Linked DNA regions of Xenopus tropicalis. The protein of the gene in region 3 purifies or fractionates together with the protein of the main gene of each other region. This does not show direct contact. Links are inferred from orthologs where the notes say so. Each region holds a gene or a part of one and is shown on either strand. Other genes may lie near its edges.

Region 1 (6,334 bases), on a different chromosome or scaffold from region 3:
ATTTCCCATGGACTTCTGTTGGACTGCGTCTAAGCCTTGAAATGCGGCACTTTTATGTGGTGTGCATATGTATGCTGCGTCGTGTACGTACACAGGGAGGAGCCAATTGCAGTGCTAAAAAGTCTGGGCACCCCTGCTCTACATCATACTAAAAGTTAACTCAAAGGTGAACAACCCTGTAAGCCACTGTCCTAAAGTTGGCTATTCACATCTAGATTTGGTTGGGTAGATTTGCTTAAGCAAATTAACTTTAGCAGGAAATTGTGGCAGAGCTTACTGCAATCTGAACTCCATAAGTTGAATTTTGGAGCCATACTGTGATAAAGTGTACATATATGGATCTTTAGGGTGTTACCACACCCTCACATTTTAGGCCCATTCCATTTATAATATAATGACTATAAAATCTTATACACTTATTTATAGGGATATATAATTCCTATACCCTATAAATATGAAAATATTAATACATATATATATATATATATATAGACACATGTTCATCAAGTGCAAGCAGGCCTGGACTGGGAGTCAAAATAGGCCCTGGAATTCCAAGTACACAGAGGCCCAAACAGCCCCCTACCAGCCCAATAAATAGTGACTGACTATGGCATCTTACAGCAGCCCCTCTGGCATTTGGCTGAATCCACAGATTGCCAGTCCAGGCCAAGATATGAAAACCCCCTATACAAACTAATAAAAGGCCCCAGCAGGCCACTTTGTTACTTAAGTACAGTCTCTATTTAAATTCCTTTAGGTTACATCCCAGAATGAGTCCCCATGCTGTTGGACGTTGGCCACGAACAGCCCCTTTAGAATGTGACATTATTTATTACAATAGAAATTATAATGAAAATGAGGGGCACAAATGTTTCTAAATCAGTTTTTGGGTCATGTGGCTAATTCTCTAACAAAATTTAATACCCTTAAAAAACAAAAGATTAAGAATCACTGCATTAAACATATCATTTGTTCTATGAGGGATTGTCTCGGTAATTCCTCCCCTGCATCGTCCTCAAGACAATGACGCACACACTCTTAGGCCGCACCCCCAGAACCTGCTAATAACAAACAGGTTATTCAATAATAACAGCTTTGTGCAGCTGATAATAGTTAGGGATCAGCCTCGCTGCCTAGGGAGGGAGGATGCAGAGAAGAGAATAAAATACACAAGAGAGTACAGTAAATACCAAAAAATGAGAAAGTATTCTTTGAGCTACAATATAATGTCAATGACTTAGGGCGTTATAAAGGAAGAAAGTGATCTGCACAGAGGTTAGTAAATTAAATGTACACCTAGGAGAGAGGGACAGGCTGGAAAAGTTTCAGGATCTAGTGGTAAAAGGTTAGTTCCCCTTTAAACCAACACTGAATATGATTTAAACAATGATATTGTGAGAATTTTCAACTGGTCTTTTTATGGTTTATGGACATTTTTTTTGTTTTTAGAATTATTTAGCTTTTTGTTCAGTAGCTTCCCAGTTTGAAATTTTAGCAGCTATCTTGTTGCTAGGGTCCAATTACCCTAGCAATTAGCCACTGGGATGAAAGAGAGATTGGAAGATGAATACAAGCCTGAATAGATAAGAAATAAAAAGTAACCATAATATTGGAGCCTCAGAGAGCAATAGTGTTTTGGCTGCCAAATCCCCATTTGAAAGCTGGAAAGAGCCAGAAGAGGATGCAAATAACTCAAAAAAATGAAGACCAACTAAAAATTTACTAAGAATAGGAAATTCTATTCTATTCTTCCCCAGATGGAAGAATTTGTATTTATGTATATTTTTATTCATATAGCGCTCCTTAGGCAAGCAGTACTGTTGCGCAGTAATTAAACATTGCATGAAATTGTGCTATAGCGCCCCTCTATGGCTGCAGCCTGGTGGGGAAGTATTAGGCGTGCACCAAATCCAGGATTCTGATCCTGGGATTCAGTAGAAAGCCGGCACTTTTCTAGCTTCTCAGACAAGACAGTTGGTAATGAAAGACATCATTAACTTGATCCCGGCTCCCGCAAGATAAGGGTTACAGCACCCTCCTTGGCCTATGTGTCACTGTCACAATTATAGCCAACCTGACGACGTCATCCCATGTACACACCTATCTGCGTCCTGGAAAGTCTGAAATGTCTGCTTAACCCATGCACTGCCTGAATCCCAGAGAGGAGGGCCGGGCACTGATCAGATTAGAGAGAGAGATGATGACTGACACCCTATATTCATTATTGGAATCTGAAGACTTGAATCACTGTTTACACACAATGCAAAGGAATCTGCACACTCACACTGCGTCTGTGCAATTCCCAGCTGTACACACGTCCCGACAGGTGCAGCCATGGCACAATGGTAACCATTAGTGATTAATAACAAAGCGCCCAATAAATTATGGTGCCGACACGAGCAAATGCCACAAGATACAACACACATTTACCTATGTTCATCAGTTGATGCAAATTCATAATAAATGCCTCCAGATGTTGTCAAACTACAACCCCCACACCCAGCAAGATGCTAAGATCCACACGTTGCTCATTCCCTAGTTTGCGCCATATATTTTTACAGCAGAAAAACAAATAACACAAAATATCTGATACTACAGAAAATATTATGTTTTGCCCAAATCAATGAACTTACAGAGCCAGCAGTTAATATGTAGTCAAGAGGATAAAGAGCCTTTGTATAGTCCAGTTTCCCCCTTGCCTGAACATTACAGGATCCCTAGAAGTTTTTTCTTTATGGATAAATAACTTTTTTTATACCGATACTCATGCCATACATACTCAGCAATACAGGGTTAATGTAATAACAGGTGCAAAGTTTGCCCCAGTAACCCCTAGCAAACAATCATATTTATCTTTAGCAAATGCCCCTACTAATTGGTCCCTATAGGTTTTTAGAAGTGGAGCAAACTTTGCACTTGGTAGCCCATTACCGCCCAGTACTGTGAAACTAAGTACACAAGCAATTTCCTTTATTAACCACAAACTGCCCTTCAAAAGGAAGATGCAATAACATATAAAGGCTGCCTATTGCTGGGGCTCCTAGCTAATGCCCTGGCTCTGATCTATAATCCACATCCCCAGTGGCCCAGAGAAGCCCCATACATTACTGTTCCTCCATACATTACTGTTCCCCCATGCCCCTCTCCCCCAGTCTGTCATTATCCTCAGTAGGAAGTAAACAGCCCGATCCAAAGTCCAACAGGGATCTAATCTCCTTCATGTGCCCGTCCTGCTAATCTCTCTGCACTCTCCTTCTCAAACCCTTATTGCTAAACGCCATTTCCTCCTGTCTCCCTCTGTACAATGGTACATTCCTGCGCCCCCCCCCCCCCAACTTCATTCCATTGCCCTAAGCATTAGCTACCGGCCCGACTTCTGTCTCCCTGCCCCTACCCCTCACCGGCACAGCAACACTTTCCCCACCTTCCCTGCATTGCCAGGGACCCTCTTATGGAAACTATAACTCCCAGCCCCCCAACCAAGAGCTGCCAGGGAAGTGTAGCAGTTATAGTTCCGCAAGAGCTCAGGCGCAGAAAGTTGTTCCAACCTAAGTTTTTCAATGCAACAACATTTGGGGGTCCCCAAGTTTCTATCAGCCCCGACCGTACTAACTTTCTACACTCCCCCTCCTCCCTTTAACCACTCACCGGCCTCCTGTCCATGGCTGTCTGTCCCTCTGAATCTGCTTAAGGGGAATTTGTTATTCTTCCTGTTGCCTGTGACTTATGAAAGCGATCCTTCCTCTTCGGGCTGCTCTCCCTCCCACCTCCGGCCCCGCTGCTTCTCCCCTCCCCGCAGGGCTAGTGGGAGGGCCCTCCTCCAGGTATTGTGGGCGGGGCCCCAATGGGGACAGTTTACCTCACAATAGTCGTTCCTTGCTAAAAAGAAAGTAACAGGTGCTGTTTGTGAGGCACAGAGTCCCTAGAACAGAGTTTTCAAAGGAAAACGGGTTATGTTCTATAATTCTGTTGAGCCTGCCCATCAGTGGCATTTGACAACCCAAGAGTGAATAACTATATTTTGTGCCCCTGAGCAAAGCTACAGCTAAACTCTAAGGCATGTTCAGGTTTTAACTGTTCAGTTTTTAGCCTTGTAAAACCTTAACAATAATCTGGCCAATAAATGAAAAACATTTAAATATTAAGATAGTCAACATGATTTTTTTTTTCTATTAATAGTTAAAAAACAATTTCTTGTTACTACAGAGAGAAAAAGCAAGTCAGAAATAAGGCATCATTCTTCTAAATTAGCACTGCGGTACTTCAGAGCTTTCTGGATAACTGATTTCTGTGTAACAGGTTCCATTCCTTTAATTACAGGATTGGACTTACTCATCAGGCAAAAATATAGATAGAGCTAGGGTTGTCACCCTTGTGGTTTTGAACTGGACATCCCAGGTTTTCAAAGGTCTGTCTGGTTCAAAACTGTCTGTCCGGTTTGAGCCATTGAAAGAACTGGACAGAAGTGCAGCCAGTTGTGTGTAAGTGATGCAAAACCCTGCTCTGGCATCATAACCTGGTGTGACATCATTGTGCCTGCCTCTGATGTCATCTCACCCACCCCCAGCATCACTGCCCCACCCCTGATGTCATTTGCCCCACCCTTTTTTTCAGGTTTCGCCACCAACAAAGGTGGCGACCATAATTTCAGATAAGAATGAAATGAAATTGTCTATCAGTCAGTGACCATGGGCCCTCTATACATCCTGTGTCCCCAACAACTGTAGGGTTTGATCTTCTGTAGTTGCACCCCTGCTGTGGTTTATTCTCCTGTCCTGTCACAACTGAAATTGTATTTTCACAGTGGTTCAGAACAGTTGTGGTGTTTTCTCCATTAGTGGAGATATGTAGCAATAACTTTAGTTATATTTAGTTGTATGAAAAACAGTGTAGTGTTAATGGTCCCTTAAGCCCAGACACCCACCTGATAGTTCCCCTTTATTCTTTTTCCATTTCATTCATTATGGCTAGTACCACACTGGGCAGATTTTCGGTCTGATAGTTCATATTGCTTCGTTGCGTTGGCCAGGTATAGCCACACTAAATGGAATTTAGCTAAAAACTGTCTACGAATGCTGAAGGGGGATAAAATGTAATATGCAGGTTGATATTTTACTACAAAATCCCATTAGGTCCTGCAGTTGGACTGGCCCACCAGGATACCAGGAAAACTTCCGGCGGGCCCAGGTGTCAGTGGCCCCTCTTGCTTCTAACTATTTAGCCTATTTCATGGCCATTCCCTGTTTCTGTATGGGAACAAGGAAGCTTGATGGATGGAAGAATAGAGTATAGTATGTAGAGAAAAGAGACTAGAATAATAAAGAGTTTGAGGGAGGAGAGGAGGACTTAATGTTTTGAGAGTGGGCCCATGGTTCAGGGTTTTCTGGTGGGCCCCTGGCATCTCAGTCTGACACTGAGGTCCTGTGTGTATTAGTGGCAAGCAGGGAGACTCTTTGGGTTAAAATGAGCCCTTCATAACAGTCACTATTTCTTTGCCAGAACTACTTAACAAACAACTGCCCAGTGCAATCACACACTCACAGGCTAGTGCCACACAAATGCCTTACCGAATAAACCACATTGATTACTCTACACTACAGTATCTAGTAGAATTAAGTCTAAAACAACTGGACTTTTCTGAGTTTTTTTTTTTACTCTAGGAACAGCAGTTACATCTAGGTTGCTGCTCACCTTCCTATTACGGCTCAGTTGATAATATAGCTCCTACACATACCCAGCCCATCCCTGCCAATTGCCCAGTTTCAAAACAGAAAGGGGTTATGGTTGGGCTACATCTGGGTAGGGCCCAGGGGCGGGCGATCAGGCGCCCTAGGCAACCCGGCCCTTGCACCTTCTCCCCCCACGCGATAATTCATTGCCGCCACTGCGTAATGACAAGCGGAGGGGGCAATGACAAAGGAGTTAGGTGTAGGCAGGAGAGGCTCCTGCCTGGCGCCCCCCAATCGTTGCACCCTAGGCAGCTGCCTCTTCTGCCTACCCCTAGTTCCGGCCCTGCCTTGGGGCTGAATTAAGCATGTTCCTCACTGTAAGAAGCTGCATTAGAAAGGTTTATGCCAGGTAATTCAGAGAAAATCATACAGTCCTCTACAGGGAAAGGGCGTACAAGTAAAGGTCAGCTGACATACTTGGTACTGAATTTGGTAATGAATTTAAGATACTGTAATTTCCCAGCAGGAAACAGATATAGCAATCACGTGAAGAATTAACTGCTTGTGATTCCTATCTCAGCAACCACTTACTATGAGCCTTCCTAGTACAGTGCAGTGGCTTAGCAGCAGTTACATAAAGCAGTTGTTGAGGGAGCATTATGGCA
Region 2 (6,450 bases), on a different chromosome or scaffold from region 3:
GCTTTATCAGAATTTAGGCTTTCAGAATTTGGTAATAATGTAAAACCAAAGAAAAGAAGCAACAATGGGAAAATGTATCTGTCAAATTCTGTTTTATTATTTGTGTAATATGTCGCGTCCAGCAATAATGTAACTTTTATCTTGGTTTCCACACCTTTTAGCCTCAAATTTCGCTTTCCTGTCCAACATGTTTAGGTTCCATCACACCTTATAACAAAGTCATAAATATGAACATACTGCAGCAATCCTTCTAGGACTATATGACTATAGAATTATATAGTCCTATATATATAGGACTATATGACTAGATTTCCAGCTACACTTTCAGAAGAAACTAGTATAGCAAATAAGTACTTACCCCGCATATTAACTGGCCTTCAAGCTAGGGCCCAGTGACCTCATTCAGCCATTATACAGACTCACACATAGTTGCCTGTGAAACCATAGGGGTATTCTGAGTAAAAATGCTGACACACAAACATACGACTAACAGCTGTGAATCAGTACAGGAATTGCTCTATATTATGGCCTTTCAATTGTGTTGAAGCACATTCCAACATCCTCAGCTAACAAATTCTACACTGCGGTGTCTTTAACAAGTGAGTTAAATGAATGCACTTGGTTTTGCTGTAATCAGAGGGGGGATGAAGATATCAGGGTTCTATGAAGAGTTGGCCTAGAGGTTGAGATCAGCCTTTGATGTGGGATCTTATACTAGGGACCCTGGTTTAATTCCCTGTAGCTACTCTTTGGGATCCTGGACAAGTCCCAGCATAGTTAGTGCACCTATAATGGCTGCATTGCTTGCTTAAAGTGCTTTGAGTCCCGCTGAAGAAGTGTGCTATATAAATCATACCCCTTGGCTCATTACTGTAGAGAATGTTTTGCTAGGTTTTGTCTGTGCTTGTATAATACATATACACTGTATTGCATATGGACAGTTAAGATACAGACATTAATACAAATGATTACCTGAGGCAGTGTTGCCAAAGTGTGCCAATGGTGCAGGTGCAAGATACTAAAGGTGGGCATACACTACAAAATCTGCTCACTTAGCAAGGTCACCAAACAAACAAATCTATGCCCACCTTGGGGGGTGATATCATGCTAATTTGATCAATTGGCCCTAAGGGCTCTGGCACACGGGGAGATTAGTCGCCCGCGGGATGGCAGACGCGGCGGCGCGATTTCGCGCAAATCGCCGAAAAAGAATCGCCCCGCCGTGTCTGCCATCCCGCCGGCGACTTACATGTTCGCCGGTGGGATGGCAGGGGTAGGCAACTCGGGGAGATTAGTCGCCCGCGAACAGGGAGTTTTGCCGCGGGCGACTAATCTCCCCGTGTGCCAGAGCCCTAAAGCTGGCCATACACGTGGCGATCTGACGATGTTTCATGCGAAACATTGTCAGATCCGCCACACACCGTCAGGGCTGAAACAGCAGATAAGGAGGTAGAAACAATAGGATTTCTACCTCCTTCTGCCGATTCAGCCCTGACGGCAGATTTTGGTCAGGCGCCTTCTATGGCGCCCGATCAAAATTTTCTAACCTGGCCAATCGGCGAGTCGTCCGATATCAGCAGCTTCCTGCGATATCGGTCGACTTGCCGACATGCCATACACGCACCGAATATCGTACGAAACAAGGTTTCGGTGCGTGTATGGCCAGCTTAAGGCCAAACTATAACATGAAAGGGATACAAAAAGTCAAGCCTGCACCATCCGATCGTCATCTGGACGATTTTTGGGCAGCTATTGGTTGGGGATGCCTGTCAGAGGGCCCCATACATTGACAGATAAGATGGCGAATTACTGTGAAGAACCCGAATTGGCAGCTTTAAGGTGCATGGCCACCTTTATAGAATTGCTAATATCTTTTCTACCAACCACCTGATATCTTTCCTATCCAAACTTCCCCTCCCCAAAAATCACCTACAATTCCCCTCTTCCTTCCTAGGAGGCGTGGCTAGTCCAGGCCCACCCATGGCAAACTTTGTGTGGAACCTACTGCAGAGGAGAGTGGGTGGGGGCTCTCCAGGCCATGGGACAGGACACCTGTTTACTTGGGGAAGCTGGTTATAATAATTAAATTAATTTAACCTGCAAATAGTTGCAGTCTATATACATATTTATATTGTTTTATTTCTTCCTTAACCTCAAAACATTTTAGTCCGCAGCTTGGCCAATGTTATTAAAAGAATAACTCGTCTCCTGGTCAGGTTTATATAACGGTGTTGTAAGAATTCCATATGGATTTAGTTTGTAAGCTTTATTTGACTACTGAGGTAAATGATTATTTCTGTTACTGCGCTGCAGGCTGCATAGCTATAAGTGCAATGTTCTCAGCTACCATTTATACCAAAGGGGCCCCAGGGAGGCTGTGTGCCCAGGCTGAATACTCTCTAGTTAAACTTTAGAAGCGTTCCCCTAATGTCGCAGCAAGAAACACATTAGACTGCCCGACACGCCTAGGGCCCCCCGCCGCCTCACACTATTCTGAACATAACCCTTGCGTGTGGAATTTCGCACGCCAAGCCCCCATGCCAGTTCATTGGCGGGAATATCGCAGCGGTTTCCGCCGTTCCCCGAGGGACAATTTAACAAGACAAAACCGGGAGCGGCTGTGCCACACACGTGACCTGCTGCTCAGCTGACAGCGCTGCACCTGACGTCATTGATGCTGGCCACGCCCTGAGTTGCGCTGGCCACACCTCTCCCGGCAGCGGAACTCTACGGGATTGCGGCTACACAAGGCAAAAACGCCCAGCGGAGTAAAGTCGGACCGGTGTCCTGCAGTATCTAGCCTGTCAAAATGTAAGTGTGCCAGTAGTGCTTGGGGGGGGCTGCCTTTACAAGTTGCGGGGAACGCCCTGCCCGGTATCCGCCCTTAGCCCTGCGCTACCGAGCGGGGCCTGTGAGGCGTAGAGTTTGGGCGCAGAATGTGCTATTTTGTCCGTACAAAGTTGTATTTAGTTCGGCCGAGAAGTTTGTGCATAGGCTTATAGGGGTGTTTGACAGGGGACACAAGTGCCCTATGGCTTTAAAGGGTAAATACAATTACAATAGGCGTGTAATGTTTCAGTCTGCTTTCTGAACTCCTAGCAGTGTCGGACTGGCCCACAGGGATACCGGGAGAATTCCCAGGGGCCCTCCTGCTTCTAGCCATTTGGCCTAATTCAGGGTCCTTACTTATTTTTCTATAAGGGAACAAAGCAACTAAATATATAGAAAAATAGATTATAGTCTGTAAAGATAAAGAAAAATAACTTGGAATATATAGAGATAAGAAATGGATGAAAAATAATTTGGAGGGTGGCCCCATGGTCTAAGGCAGTGATCCCCAACCAGTGGCTCAGGGGCAACATGTTGCTCCCCAACCCCTTGGGTGTTGCTCTCAGTGACCCCAAACCAGGGAGTTATGTTTGAATTCCTGACTTGGGGGCAAGTTTTGGTTGAATAAAAACAAGATTTACTACCAAATAAAGCCCCTGTAAGCTGATAGTGTGCATAGAGGCTACCTAATAACCCTTATTTGGCTCCTCCATGAACTTTATGGTGCTTGTGTTGCTCTCCAAGTCTTTTTACATTTGACTGTTGCTCACGAGTTAGAAAGGTTGGGGATCCCTGGTCTAAGGTTTTCTGGTGGGCTTTTAGCATCCCAAGTCCGACACTGACTCCTAGCATCTAATGGGATGGGAGTTGTAGTACAATAACAGCTTGTTGTTACATTACATAATATGACTTCTGTTAGAACTCAAAATAGACTTAATGGCTCGCATTTGTATTTACTGCTTCACAAGTCTTGACTCATTTTAAGAAATGGTTCTTAATGTGAATGTTCTGCTGCAGCACATTGTTGTTTTACGGAATTTATGTTGTTCAGATTGGGTGAATTTCATCAGCAGATAGGTTTCATTTCAAGTGCATTTGCTACATGTCACAGGGTAGGTTTTGACCACCATTGTATCCTGGTGGGGGTTTAAGCCCCTGAAATCACCCACGCCTGCCTCCCATAGCAACCAGAGGAAATCACCCTTGTGATGGCTGCATAGGCTGAGGATTTCTAATACATTACTATGGGAAGTGGCAACCAGCAAATTTATCAGATATTGGTCTAAGAATCATAATAAGGAACTTGTTACAGTTAGGTAATACTATTTAGGGTGAAGACACACAGAGCTACTAGTAGCAGCTACTTGTCATGGCTACTAAAAAAGGCTGCTGATCATTTACTGATAGTTATCTCTACATGTGTTAGGGCATTAGGGTATTTTCTGGAGTTTAGTAGCCTTTACAAAGTAGCTGGTACTAGTTGCCCATTGTGTCTTCACCCTTAAAGGAACAGTAACACCAAAAAATGAAAGAGCTTTAAAGTAATAAAAATATAATGCACTGTTGCCCTGCACTGGTAAAACTGGTGTGTTTGCTACAGTAACACTACTATAATTTATATAATAAGCTGCTGTGTAGCCATGGGGGCAGCCATTCAAGCTGGAAAAAAGGAGAAAAGGCACAGGTTACATAGCAGATAACAGATAAGTTTTATCTGTTATCTGCTATGTGCCTGTGCCTTTTCTCTTTTGAATGGCTGCCCCCATGGCTACATAGCAGCTTATTTATATAAATTATAGTAGACTTTCTGAAGTAAACACACAGCTTTTACCAGTGCAGGGCAGCAGCACATTATATTTTAGTTACTTTTATACAATTTCATTTTTTTGGTGTTGCTGTTCCTTTAAGTATCCAGATTATAACCCATATAGATACACTTGGTCAGTGTAGCAGATCTCTTCCAAACTGACTGAACATTAGGATGTAGCCTTTAGGTGACGTATTAACTTTTTTGTGACCCCAGTAGGTCCCTTCTTTCTCTAGAGAATTGCAGATTGCTGATAGCATAGCTCAATCCAATTGGGAACTCTTTTTTTGTGTAAGTCATTTATTTCAGATTCTTCTGATTAATATAATGTAACCGTATGTTGTTAGAGAGGAGAATGCCAGGGTTACACCCAAATTATTTACTCAGAGAAGGGCCAGCAGCAATAAAACAGCTTTAAACCCATTTTTACCAAAAAGGAGAGGAGCTGATCTGCACGTAGATCCCAGTAATTACCCTGGCACTAAGGAGAAGAGAAAGTGTAGCAGCTGCCTGTTTCACTTATGATCTACAGCTGCAGACCAGAATATTGTAATAAAATTATAATTATACACAATTTGTAGATTATAAGCTCTTTTGGGCAGGGCTCTCTTCACCTCTTGTATCAGTTATTGATTGCTTTATATGTTACTCTGTATGTCCATTGTATGAAACCCACTTATTGTACAGCGCTGCAAAATATGTTGGCGCTTTATAAATAAATGTTAATAATATACTGTAAGTTTTGCACTATGTGCACTTATTGCTCAAAGGTCTTTACCTTTGAGCAATAAGTGCAAAACTTACAGCAAAGTTTCTGGTGAATTCCATTCAGATGTTGGGGGCTAATGACTCCCCAGACACTTTTACATTTGATGTGCGTGTGTGTGGAGTTTGGGAGGCATTCTGTCTCAGAGGCTGATTATATCAGAGCTGCAAAGTGTCAATAGGCCAAGTGAATCCCCAGTGGCACCAGTTTGCTTTTAAAGGGGTTGTTCACCTTTTATAGGAGAAGGAAAGGTAAAATCACTGGGGGGTGCTAAAATGTTAGGCACCCCCTAGAGATTGTAATTGCTTACCTTATACCCCAGGTTGGTGCTCCTGTGAGGAGAAAACCCCACCAGCCCGGGGTAGCTAAGAACAAGCGATCCTCTTCCTCCTGTCTACTTTCTTCGTGATCCCGGGGCCAACGCATGTGAGGTAGAGGGAAAAGGCCAGCTTTGTTGTAAAAGTTTGGGTTTTGACTCTACTGCGCAAGCGACTCAAAGACAAGAAGAAGGAAGAGGATCAGTCTTTCGCTGCTACCCTGGGCTGGTGTGTTTTCCTCCCCAGTGATTGTACCTTTCCTTCTCCTTTTAGTAAGGTTTAATTGGTTTTCATTATTATTATTTTTTATAGTTGAATTATCTGCCTTCCTCTTCTGACTGTTTCCAACTTTTAAATGGGGATCAATGACACCGGCAGCTTAAAACTATATCTTTGTGGTCATGCAATTTTATTGTCATTGTTAATTTTTAATACTTAATCTTTCTATGCAAATCCTCTTCTATTCATGTTCCCAACTCTTACAAACCACTGCCTGGTTGTTAGGGTAAATTGCATCCAATAGCAACCAGATAGCTGCTAAAAGACCAAACTGGAGAGCTGCTAAACACAAAGCTAATTAATTGGATTGTGACTAAAAATATAGTGTTTGTGAATGTGATAGGGATCTTAGATTGTAAGCTCCTCTGGGGCATGGCTGATGCAAATGATGTATAATTTTTGTAAAGTGCTGCAGAAATATGTTGGCGCTATCGAGGAAATAAATAATACAT
Region 3 (5,880 bases):
GGGAGCCCAGCAGTCAGTACAGAGAGTAGTAGGGACAGGGAGAGGGCTCCCAGCAGACAGTACAGAGAGTAGTGGGGACAGGGAGAGGGCTCCCAGCAGACAGTACAGAGAGTAGTAGGGACAGGGAGAGGGCTCCCAGCAGACAGTACAGAGAGTAGTGGGGACAGGGAGAGGGCTCCCGGCAGACAGTACAGAGAGTAGTGGATATGCGGATAGAGGGCAGAGAGTAGTGGGGGCAGGGAACGGGCTCCCAGCTGCCCCACTTTGGAGGCACGACACATTCCGCGCAGCTCAGAGCTACTTGAAAGGCAGGAGAGATACTTTTGCCGGCGAGGGAACAATAGGGGCTCAGATTCCCTGTTGAGGAAGGGAGAAGCCCCCCGCTTGTTGCTACTGAGCCCCCTCCAGAAACAGCCTGCGTTCCCCTCCAGTAAATGGCGAGCACTACACACCCTTGTGCTGGGAACAGAATGGGCTCTGAAGGGCCCTCTCACCCATACACTGGGAACAATGGGGCTCCTTGTGCGCCTCCCCAATTCCATCCCAGGCCCAGACCCCCCCAGATGTGCCGGGTCACTAATACACTGGGGCGCTGGGACCCAACGGGCTGGTACCCCCCATCGGCTCCGGGGGGCTCACACACCCACACAATGAGCTGGGAATTATTACTGAAACGCTAATATTGGGTTAAGTTACCCTTTAAATCTTATTGTTGGGCAGCCATGTGGCCCTAAAGCGCAGGGTAGAAATAAAGGGCGTTTGCGTGGAGTGACCCCCGAGTGAGGCCTCAGACAGGGGTGCCAGGGCTGTGCCCCCGGGGGGGGTATTGGGGTGACACTTTAATGTCTCGGTCTCACTATAAAGTTCATTTCAAGGTGAAACAAACCCTTTTGGGGGATAAAAGTGAAATAACTGGGAAACCGAGGAGTCAAGGGGCGACTTCTGAGGGCGCCAACCCCCCCAACTCTGCGCCAACCCCCCCAACTCTGCGCCAACCCCCCCAACTCTGCGCCAACCCCCCCATCTCTGCACCAACCCCCCAACTCTGCGCCAACCCCCCCAACTCTGCGCCAACCCCCCAACTCTGTGCCAACCCCCCCAACTCTGCGCCAACCCCCCCAACTCTGCGCCAACCCCCCCAACTCTGCGCCAACCCCCCCATCTCTGCCTTTCAGCTTCTGATAGATTGTAAGCTTCTCCGACCATCATTTATGAAAGCAAAGTGAGCCCCGGGGGGGGGGGGGCGACCTTTCTTCCAGCAGTGAAAGAGTCGACAGGGACCCTGGGGAGGTTTGTACACACAGAAACAAATGGGGGTATCAGCGGGGGGGGGGGGGGGCGGCTTGTTCTCTGTCTCCCGGGTGATCCATCATTCTCCGCCGGCCGCGCCGCGTCCCCCCCTATTCATCCGACACTGAGTGCCCAGCATTCATCCAACGCGCTGACCCCCCAGGTCTCCTCTGCAAACAGAGCGTATGAAAAGCCAGAGTGGGGCGAGCGGGGCTGGAGTGGGGGCGCCGGGGGGCTCCGAGGACTTGCTGATCCCTGGAACACATTCATATCCTTTGCTTGGAGCTCTCGCCGGGGGGGAACAATAGCCGAGGGGCTCAAAGGTCTGGGATCTGCAAATAAAGGGTCCCTGCTGTCAGGGGCAGCGGGACGTGGAATGAGCACCCATATCCCCCCCGGCGCGGGCTGGGGGGCCCTCTGTTTGCCCCGTTACTAGGAGGCCGCCGGGGAAAAATGGAGGCATTTCCAAGGCCATTGAAGTGCAGGTTTATTGGGCAAATAAAGCTGCTGTGAGACAGTTTAGCCGGGGGGGGGGGGGGGGGGGGTTAATGAGCTGAAGGGAATGGGGGGGTTACAGCCCATCAGTTATACCACATGCTGGCAGTGCCCACTTCCTATATTGGGGGCAAAGCACTTGAGCTGGGATTAACCGGGGCAGCGTGGGAATTCTGCCCATCAATACGGGCAACGTATATCGCGGGCTGGGGGGGCTCCTACTGCTCAATCAACCCCCCAATACCCCCCCACCAACTCAGTTTCCCTACAGCACAGAATTTCACATTAAGCCCCCCCTTGAAGGTCCGACGTTGCCCATAGATATAGGGACCCACTGATCAGTCATATGGGGGGGCCCCTATACCCTCCCCTGATAGTCACTATCCTGGCACCTTAGTGCCCCTGGCTGCTCTTACCCAAGGTGCCCACATTCCTGGCATCATATAATGGCACGCAGGGGGGTATTTAGCTGAGCCCCATAACCAATGAGGTTACGCCAATGCCCAGCCAATAAGGAGTGATTTTCCATTATTGGGCAGAAGGGGATGTGGGCAGTCATAGGCCGATGCCAGGAATGGGGGCTCTAAATGCCAGTAAGAACTGGGGTTGGCATCCAGGTGCCCGGCTTATCTCCCCTTTAATCCGTAGGGAGGAGGCCAATGTGGCCCCTGCGCCATTCATTTCTATTGGCTGAATATAGTGGAGGAGCCGCCTCTATCTACTGCCCTGTTTGGGCCCTTAAGAGCCTCTGGGGCCCTAGGCTGGAAGGCTGACATAGTTTAGCAGGGGGGCTGCTGTGCGTGGGGGCTGGATTGGGAAAGACACCCCCATAATAAACACTTACACCCCAAATTCCATGTCACACAGTAATGTATAAATAAAGCCACGATCTCGGCTTGGGGGCCACAGAGCAATAGAACGCCGGCAGCTTATTGGCCCGTGTATGGGGCCCCGGGGTATCTGTCTGTATATCAATAAGGAAAGCAAAGCTCTTGATTGCAAGCTCTGCAGTCTATCCCACAGCCCAGTGTCCCCCCCTACTGGAGGCCAATGATACAGAGACCCATGTATGGGGCCCGGGGCATCTGTCTGTATATCAATAAGGGAAGCAAAGCTCTTGATTGCAAGCTCTGCAGTCTATCCCACAGCCCAGTGTCCCCCCCTACTGGAGGCCAATGATACAGAGACCCATGTATGGGGCCCCGGGGTATCTGTCTGTATATCAATAAGGGAAGCAAAGCTCTTGATTGCAAGCTCTGCAGTCTATCCCACAGCCCAGTGTCCCCCCCTACTGGAGGCCAATGATACAGAGACCCGTGTATGGGGCCCCGGGGTATCTGTCTGTTTATCAATAAGGGAAGCAAAGCTCTTGATTGCAAGCTCTGCAGTCTATCCCACAGCCCAGTGTCCCCCCCTACTGGAGGCCAATGATACAGAGACCCGTGTATGGGGCCCCGGGGTATCTGTCTGTATATCAATAAGGGAAGCAAAGCTCTTGATTGCAAGCTCTGCAGTCTATCCCACAGCCCAGTGTCCCCCCCTACTGGAGGCCAATGATACAGACTCCTGACCTGGGAGTTATTTACCCTCTTTGGGTTGATTCCTGGTGGTTCCCTAAGAAACCAATCGCTCTGACCCCGGGGGCCACCCATGGAGGGCCGGCACAATGGCATGCTGGGACGCTTTGTCTCGGCATTTGCCCCCCCCCGGCCCCTTGTGTCTGACCTTGATCTCAAACTGGGAGAAGTGACCTTGATCTCCCCCCAAATCAAAGCAACGAAACTAATTGTGTCCTTAATCCACTTAGCCTTGTGCCCCCCGGCCACTTCAGGATTGGAGGGAGGAGGGCCCCCCCTTGCCATTTAATCCCTGCGCGGTCAGCGGGAGCACGAACGGCTGGGCTTGGGGATTCCTAACGATTGCCCCCAGTGTGCGGGGTAACAAAGAGACCAACAGCGTGGAACTGGGGCCACAGAGAGCAACCCTGGGGGGGCAATTACCAGACAGATACGGGGGGGGGGTGAGAATCCCTTCTGCTTGTGCTAAGTCGGCATGTACAGGGGTTAAACCCAGCCAGGGGGGGCACATGGGGTAAATAAGCCCCCGCTATATCTGTCCTTGGATTTGTTCTTTCCGTGAATTCATTGTGTTTGTTCCCATCACATTCCCCGTGGGAACCCAGATCCTCCTGTCATTGGCGCAGCCCTGCAGTTCAACTACACCCCTACGGGAAGCTGCGATTCATGGGGATGCTGGGAAAGTTTAGTCACCTCTGCAGAACCAGAACCCACGACCCAATTCGGCCCCATTGGACCCCACTTATTGGCGTTGGCACCTACCGCAGGAGCCGGATTTCCCATCCACCAGTTTGATGTGTCGGGTTTGGTTGCGGATCTTGGAGTCGGTCGTGTCCACCAAGGCGCTCACGTCATCGATGATTTCTGTAACGAGGAGGGGAGACCCCAATAAGCACTGCGCCCCATTATTATTATTAGAAATCTATAGCTGGGTAAGGGGCCGTCTGTACCCCTAGTTACACCCTATATAACTGTGCCCCATTGGCTCGGGGGGTGCCAAGAACACCTGGGAAGGTAGGATTCCAACAAACACCCCCCAATATACCTGTACCATCTCTGCTGATAATCCTTTCCCTGAATCCACTACCCCACAGCAGATTTACAAGCCCCGGCTGTGGCAAATAACTGCCCCCTGTTACTGTAGCGCCCCCCCATTTCCATTCCTGACCCAAAGGGGGTCTCACATAAGCCCCAGAAGCCCCTTCAGCAGGTAGAAGCAGCACCGGGAGGGGGGTTCCATATATCCATATAGCGCCCCCCCCATTTCCATTCCTGACCCAAAGGGGGTCTCACATTAGCCCCAGAAGCCCCTTCAGCAGGTAGAAGCAGCACCGGGGGGGGTTCCATATATCTATATAGCGCCCCCCCATTTCCATTCCTGACCCAAAGGGGGTCTCACATTAGCCAGAGAAGCCCCTTCAGCAGGTAGAAGCAGCACCGGGAGGGGGGGGGTTCCATATATCAAAATAGCGCCCCCCCATTTCCATTCCTGACCCAAAGGGGGTCTCACAGTAGCCCCAGAAGCCCCTTGGGCAGGTAGAAGCAGCACCGGGAGGGGGGGGTTCCATATATCAAAATAGTGCCCCCCCATTTCCATTCCTGACCCAAAGGGGGTCTCACAGTAGCCCCAGAAGCCCCTTGGGCAGGTAGAAGCAGCACCGGGGGGGGGGTTCCATATATCAAAATAGTGCCCCCCCATTTCTATTCCTGACCCAAAGGGGGTCTCACAGTAGCCCCAGAAGCCCCTTGGGCAGGTAGAAGCAGCACCGGGAGGGGGGGGTTCCATATATCAAAATAGCGCCCCCCCATTTCCATTCCTGACCCAAAGGGGGTCTCACAGTAGCCCCAGAAGCCCCTTGGGCAGGTAGAAGCAGCACCGGGGGGGGGGTTCCATATATCAAAATAGTGCCCCCCCATTTCTATTCCTGACCCAAAGGGGGTCTCACAGTAGCCCCAGAAGCCCCTTGGGCAGGTAGAAGCAGCACCAGGGGGGGGTTCCATATATCCATATAGCGCCCCCCACCCCCGGGGAGGCACGCTAGGTGTGGAATTCAGACGTGTGAGCTCACAGGCCGAGGGAGAATTCCTTCCATGGAACGTTCCGTTTGGCCCCTGCAGGTAACACAGTGCAGCCGTGTTTGTTGTGGGGCCCCCGGGGCATTTTCCCTGTCAAACTGGAATATTATGAGGCAAATGAGCCCTTCGCACAAAACCCCTCACGTGGTGCAACTGGGGGGGGGGGGCAAATATTCTGCTGCTCCCCAAGCAAGAATGAGTTAACTGCACATGAAGCTTTGCCCCACGTGGGGGTATCTTTATCCATACCCAGAACTTCATTTCCCATCATCCTCGCTTCCCAGAGCCGGGCTGGGCTCAGCCAACTAATAATCTAGCTTCATTATGAATCTGCTTTCTGGTTGCTATGTTGACAGATCATAGCAACCAGGTGGCATTTTTATGTGAGATGGGCAGATACTGCCAACAGCAAACTTATTCCAAATAGGAACATGCCCGGCCT
Region 4 (6,442 bases), on a different chromosome or scaffold from region 3:
TTCAGAATCAACTAATCACATTCAGTCTCATCTCAAACAGTACTTAGTATATACCTGACATCAATTAAAGTGGCTCTGATAGAGCTCAGATAAGGTTTCCTGGTCTCATACTCCAAAAGCCATGGTCCACAAAAAACTTTCAAAACTTGAAAGATCTCATCATTGAAAGGTATCAATGGGGACAGAGGTACAAAAATTATCCAAATCATTAAAAATTCCATGGAGCATGGTGAAGTCATCAACGAGAGGAGAAAATATAGCTCAACAGTGACTATACAAAGATCAGGATTGATGAGAAGACAAGGAGAAAACTGGTCAGGGAGGCCTTCAACAACATTAAAGGAGCTGCTGGATTTCTTGGCAAGTACTGGTTGTTCCCTACACTTTACCTTTCAGTATGACAATTACCCAAAGCATACATCTAAATCAACAAAGCAATGGATTCACCAAAGAAAGATACATTTTCCAGAATGGCCCAGCCAGAGCTTAGACCTTAATCTGAATGAAAATCTGGGGGTGACCTGAAGAGGGCTGTGCACAATAGATGCCCTTGAAATTTGAAAGATCTGGAAAATTTTTGCAAGGAGGAGTTGGCAGAAATTGTAACCAGCATACTTATCTTCACTTTAAAGAGTGTAAAAATAGACTCATATTATAGCCCCATAATACATATGGAAAAGCTATTACTGGCGATTATAATGGGATTCTCATCTGAAATCCTTGTGCATATTTTCAAGGGTGGTCTTTGTGAAAATCACCTGTACTTGTGTATTCCAATGATTCGACCAGAATGGGGGTGGGTCATAAGTGGCCATACTGCCTGTAATAAGAAAACAGTACCTTGTACTTGCATGGTAACTAAATTAGTAAAATCCATGTTGGTAGCAGATTATTTTTTTCCTTTTAACAAATTTAAAAAAGGTACTGAGATCAGTATCATGGGAAGACTTCTTATCCGGAAAACCCCAGGTCTGAAGTCTTCCAGATAACTGATCCCAAACCTGTACAGGTATGGGATCTGTTATCAGGAAACCCCTTATCCAGGAAGTTCCGACTCCCACTGACTCCATTATAAGCCTATAATTCTAATATTTTTTTTAAATGTCCTTTTTCTCTGTAATAACAGAACAGTTACTTGAACTTGATTCCAACTAAGATAAAATTAATCCTTATTGGTAGCAAAACAAGCTTATTGAGGTTAATTTTTAAATAATCTTTTAGTAGACTTAAGCTATGGAGATCCAAATTACAGAAAGATCCCTTATCCATAAAATCTCAGGTCCCTAGCATTCTGGATAATAGGTCGCATACCTGTACCTGTGTTTTTTTTTTTTTTTAATAGAAATTTATATTTATTATTGATATTCCTTTTCTAGGCCATCTCTAATGAGTTACAACTAAAATATTGCACCTTCTTTATTTACCTGTACCAGACTTCAACTTCTTTTTTAGAAATGGCTGCTGTTTTGAAGATGTTGGGCTTTGGGTGTGGTACTGACCCGACAAGGCTGGAAGTACTGTTTAAATCAACCTTGACTAGACAAGTGCCACAGGTAAGTAAAGGGGGTAGGGGGATGCCAGGCTTCAGTGTTAAAGCTTTAGGTTATGGAAGGAACCTTTTTCACCAACAAATTCCTGTGAAAACCTGTAAAGTCTCTGTATAAATTATATTTGCTGAACATGCCCAATAAAACATTACCTATCTGAAAAAGACTATGTAACTTCAACCTGTACCGCACTTCATGACAACAGTGCACCTTATATCAGTATGACACAACAACACACCTTGACAGCATACCGAGAAGCTGAAAACACAGTTATCAGATCTCAGCAGTGTGCTGTTATCAGTGCAGAATAACTGGGCCATTCCAAAACATACAATAACAGTCATTTGTAGGACAGCAGCAATTTTCCTGTAAACACTGCACTGTGCTAGTCTATAATTACAAAAAGAAAAACAGCAGCATAGTGAACAATGAACAAAAAATCTCATTACATGAATTACGTCCTTGCTATATCCACTTTTAATTAGAGGCTCTCACATGGAGTGCACATTTACCACTTCTCATTAAAAATACTGAATATAATTAAGATACTATCATCTCAAAAAAACCTTTTTAAAAAAAAATACCATGTCAGTCCAAGCCTGCTTGAATCACAGTACAATGAATGTTCTGTTATAAAGATAACTAGATTCTCAGCTATAAAGCAAGACAGGACTGACTGCTGCCTTCTTAGACTAAGGACATTAATCATGTGATTTCACTTTCAAATGGAAGCGGAAACATAGGATTTTTAACAAGTAAAAATGTAAGGTATTTTCCCCCCAAATTCCTTTACTTTACTAAACCTAACATGACCAACAGGCAAAGTGTAATTTTGTTAAAGATGCCCCTTTAAGATGGTTAAGGAATGGGTATGTTTGGATAGTAAATGTCTTATGTCTAGTCCAAATAGAGGGAGTGACAAATTGCTCTTATGACGTATTTACTACTATTCCATGGCATCCTTTAATTAAGAGCTGAACACTTGTTTAAGAATGAAACTACACATAGACTTGAAGAACAGAGGCCAGTAGTACCAAGACTCCATATTTATTTATTTACTTACTTCTGGGGGTATGTAATGATTGGCAGAAGTCAATACTGTGAATCTAATACATAATGATATACAAGAAAATACATATTTCCTGCCAAGTCTCATTCATTCAACATGATAAATCACACATTATGAACTCCTATCCTGCTGTCATGCTGGGAGGAAGGAAATATTACAATTTCATGGCCCCTGCCTGACCTGGTGAATCCTGCTTGTGCCCACGCCCAAAATTTTCTCTGAGCTTGCAAAGCAGTGATCAGGCAGTTAGGGGGGAACAAAAAACCCCCATGGAGTAAGGCAGGAATGTAACCCACTCAACACAAATTCAGTAAGCGAGGGTAAAACTGCTCAGCCTGATTTCACTGGTTGCTGAACTACATTTCTACAAATGCTGCCTTTAGGATAATATTGTAATGTGTAGTTTAACCACAGCAAGAGCCCAACCAGGTGACAAGCCTAACAGTAGTAACTTCTTGGTAACAGTAACCCAATCAGGAATCTCCAGTAGGAAATGACTTCCCACTGCACTTAGCTCCCTTCCTGCCTGTCACCCCTGCTTCTCTGTGCCCCTCTGCCAATGAACATGCCAGCTGATAGCTGCTGTACTGTACACCCACCCACCAACCAACACAAGGAAACATTAGTTGATTTTTGTCATTTGCCAACTGTCCAGTCTCCATATATGCAATGCTATATAAATAATTTTCTCTATTTCCAGCTGTGTCAGTATAGCCGCCCTTCCTGTACATCAGTGGGTGTGTAGCACCTGGGAATTACACATAATACAAGGGGCCCATATAACATGTTAATCTCTGTTGTCCAAAAGTTCCCATTGCCAATGGCTAACAATTCGTCCTTCAAATCTCCACCAGTACCCCCATCTATATACTGCGGGTGTGTGCAGCTCGCTGCGATCACGGATATATATACAGGAATAGGACCGGTGCTCTGTAGAAAAACTGGGGATACTGACTGTTATTTGTGATCCTCTGCACATTGCCGCTGCAGGTCTGAATAATGCTGTTGAAGTCCCGGGCACGGCTCTGCTGCTTCATGTACCCAGACATGTTGCTCCTCTTAGGGCCCCGTCCTCCTTTCTGAGTATAAGAGATGGTGGGATGAAGCGACTCTAAGGAAGTCGTGATGTCATAGCCATGTGACCGTGATGTCACGTAGGAATTGTCAGGCTCCTATCAGCGATAAGCGCCTCCCAGTCATGATACCACGTGACAGCTTGGAAAAGATGCTGTTGTTGCCACTCCTTTAAAGAGAACAAGGAATGCAAATGTAGAATTCTGCTGGTTTATAAAAATCAGCAAGTGCGCCTTTGGAGGATGGGGTACTTAATATCCCAGGTCCTGGAGCAATTGCTGGGTCTAATTATTTTTTTTTCCCTACACCCCTAGTACTTGGATTTAATGGAGGGAGATGAGAAATATGCTGGGTGCACATGGGGGACAAGTATTGTGATCTTTAGTAAAATGTTGTTTACCTGTACAACAGGTAAGCAGTTGAAGCATAGTGTGTGATATGTATGTTCAAGGCTGCTGTTAAAGGGCAAGGTGATATATACAGGAATTATATATGAGTGATGTGTAGGCTGGGACTGGCAATCTATGGGTTCTGGCAAATGCCAGAGGAGCTGCTGTAAGATGTTATAGACAGTTAATATTTATTGGGCTGGTAGAGGGCTGTTTGGACCTCTTGTGTACTTGAAATGCCAGGGCCTATTTTGACTCCCAGTCTGGACATGGCGATGTGTAATATCTGTTGGACTTCTTGGGAACTCTGAATGCTGAGGGAGGGCAGTTTGGTAAGTCCATCAGTGCCAGTGGATAGCAGCGTTTTATGTATGGATGTTTCTGGGGGTTGCTAGATAAGAACTGTGATTGGTTATTTGGTAGCCCCTATGAGGACTGGCAGCATACAGGAGGCTCTGTTTGGCAGTACACCTGGTTTTTATGCAACTAAAAATTGCCTTCAAGCCAAAAATTAAAAAACAAGCACCTGCTTTAAGACCCCCTGGAGAGACATCTAGGGTTAGCGAGCACTATGTTGCTCACAAGCCACTGGTTAGGGATTACTGTTCTTACAGAGGCAAGTGATGAGTATTGTGCCACGCAAAAATCTTTGCGTCACTGCATTTTGAATCATCTTTAAGAAAGTATTGTGTGTGTGGGAGGTAGAAATACGGTAGTTTGAATTAGCAGAGGTGCGCCAGGAATTTTTAAAAAAAGACCCCTTAACTGCTCTCCTCTTTCCCATCCCATTATCATCCTCTCTTTCAGAGCCACCGTCAGGGGGAGAGGGGTACTGTTGTGCAGTGCTCGGTGAAATAATCTTCTGATGGTGGGCCTGGCAGTGTTGCCAAAGTTATTAAAATTGTTTATTACGTATGAAGTTCCGTCAAAGCGTACACAATTTGTGTAACTTCCGTAAAAACTGCCTAGAAACTTACTTACCTTGTGTATCAAGGTAAAGACAAGGCAAAGAAACTTGGCAGAGGCCAACTCCACTGACCACCAATGAATTAAAAAACTCAAGGTAAATTCCACTGCCCCCTTCCCAATTGACTTGCTGACTTATTGGCATATTATTTTATGTATTTATATTAATTATGTTATAGTGTAACATCAGCTGTTTATATTGGGATTCATTTACTGAATTATATGAGCATCTCCTACATGAACTTTTCAGCAGTGGAATGACTGGTTATTGAGCCCCATAGCAATATCATTTGGCCCCTACACTTACACAATTTATGTAACTTATGCAAAAACGTCCGATACTTTCAAAGAACTAATACTGACTATTTATTGGGCCCCACAGCAAGATCACTGGGCCCTTAAACTTACGCAGTTTATGTATTTTATGCATCAAGTAATGGCAGTGCAGAGCAAGAGCAGGAAGAAGTGTAGGATTGAAATTTACAGCAAAATCCACTGACCCAGATAACCGCTAATTAGCACATTAATTAACTCTTTATATTAACTAACACATTAACTTTATTTATGAACTACTTATTATAGAGTATCATCAGCTGTTCAATTTGCACACACAAAAATTTGGTACTGCACACTTGTGTTCATTGCGGGTCCTATGTAAATTACTTGTACAGGGCCCAAAGTTTTTAATTGGGGCCCTGCTTTTTCTGCTGTAACTACCAGGTACCTCTGATGATTAGGTTTCTTATGATGGCAATACTCTGGAATGCACCATGATGAGATTGGAAAGTAGCTCAATCTTTGAGAGCCATTGAAAGCAATGACCATGAGTAATGCAGCCCTCCTGCAACTCTGTCACAGCACAAATAATCAGTCTCAAAATATAATCTTCCAGATGAAAAAGGAACCACTTCCTGCAGTTCTGATTGTACAGGCTGTAGGTCCGAATGAACAGAACAATAAAACAAAACCACGTGTATGGACTGTAGTGTGGTATTCATAATCCATCCATTCATTCAGTCTGTAGGACAATTAAGCATAATTCTGCAGAGTCAGCCAGTGACCATTTTGAGAAATGAAACCAAAGTGCTGGACAGAAATTTATATCAGTCCTGTACTTATAACACTGTCATCCTTAGCAGTCTTGTACATATCACACTGCCCTTGTCACACAGTTCTATTGAGATCACACGGTGTACCCCCAGTAGTCTTGCATATATTATGCTGCTCTCCTAGTAGCAATGTCAGCCTGGCTTGCTGGGGTTCCAGGAGTTTTGCCAGTGGTCTCTGGCCTGAATGGACCCTTTGTCTGGAGCACAAATCATTAACTGTTTTCTACCCTTTTCAGGTTCTGCTTGAGTTTTTATTACTATTAGTGTGGAAAGATAGGACAGAGTTAG

What was found. Proteins that work in one complex are often made in the same cells at the same time.
Region 1: the proteins of stx8 (region 3) and vamp8 purify together in Homo sapiens (co-immunoprecipitation; 5 studies listed by BioGRID and IntAct, with this or other methods). This does not show direct contact. The link is inferred for Xenopus tropicalis from reciprocal best matches to the Homo sapiens genes STX8 and VAMP8.
Region 2: the proteins of stx8 (region 3) and vamp3 purify together in Homo sapiens (co-immunoprecipitation; 3 studies listed by BioGRID and IntAct, with this or other methods). This does not show direct contact. The link is inferred for Xenopus tropicalis from reciprocal best matches to the Homo sapiens genes STX8 and VAMP3.
Region 4: the proteins of stx8 (region 3) and stx12 purify together in Homo sapiens (affinity purification with mass spectrometry; 3 studies listed by BioGRID and IntAct, counting the BioPlex papers as one, with this or other methods). This does not show direct contact. The link is inferred for Xenopus tropicalis from reciprocal best matches to the Homo sapiens genes STX8 and STX12.

What each region holds. Positions count from the first base shown.
Region 1 is NC_030679.2:125,649,426-125,655,759, reverse strand, and holds the start of vamp8 (vesicle-associated membrane protein 8), read right to left. Parts: upstream 3,687-6,334; 5' UTR 3,664-3,686; coding exon 3,649-3,663; intron 1-3,648. UniProt on the Homo sapiens protein: SNAREs, soluble N-ethylmaleimide-sensitive factor-attachment protein receptors, are essential proteins for fusion of cellular membranes.
Region 2 is NC_030683.2:101,172,137-101,178,586, forward strand, and holds the start of vamp3 (vesicle-associated membrane protein 3), read left to right. Parts: upstream 1-2,764; 5' UTR 2,765-2,809; coding exon 2,810-2,811; intron 2,812-6,450. UniProt on the Homo sapiens protein: SNARE involved in vesicular transport from the late endosomes to the trans-Golgi network.
Region 3 is NC_030686.2:49,471,919-49,477,798, reverse strand, and holds part of stx8 (syntaxin-8), read right to left. Parts: intron 4,227-5,880; coding exon 4,125-4,226; intron 1-4,124. UniProt on the Homo sapiens protein: Vesicle trafficking protein that functions in the early secretory pathway, possibly by mediating retrograde transport from cis-Golgi membranes to the ER.
Region 4 is NC_030678.2:83,638,168-83,644,609, forward strand, and holds the start of stx12 (syntaxin-12), read right to left. Parts: upstream 3,687-6,442; 5' UTR 3,666-3,686; coding exon 3,572-3,665; intron 1-3,571. UniProt on the Homo sapiens protein: SNARE promoting fusion of transport vesicles with target membranes. Together with SNARE STX6, promotes movement of vesicles from endosomes to the cell membrane, and may therefore function in the endocytic recycling pathway.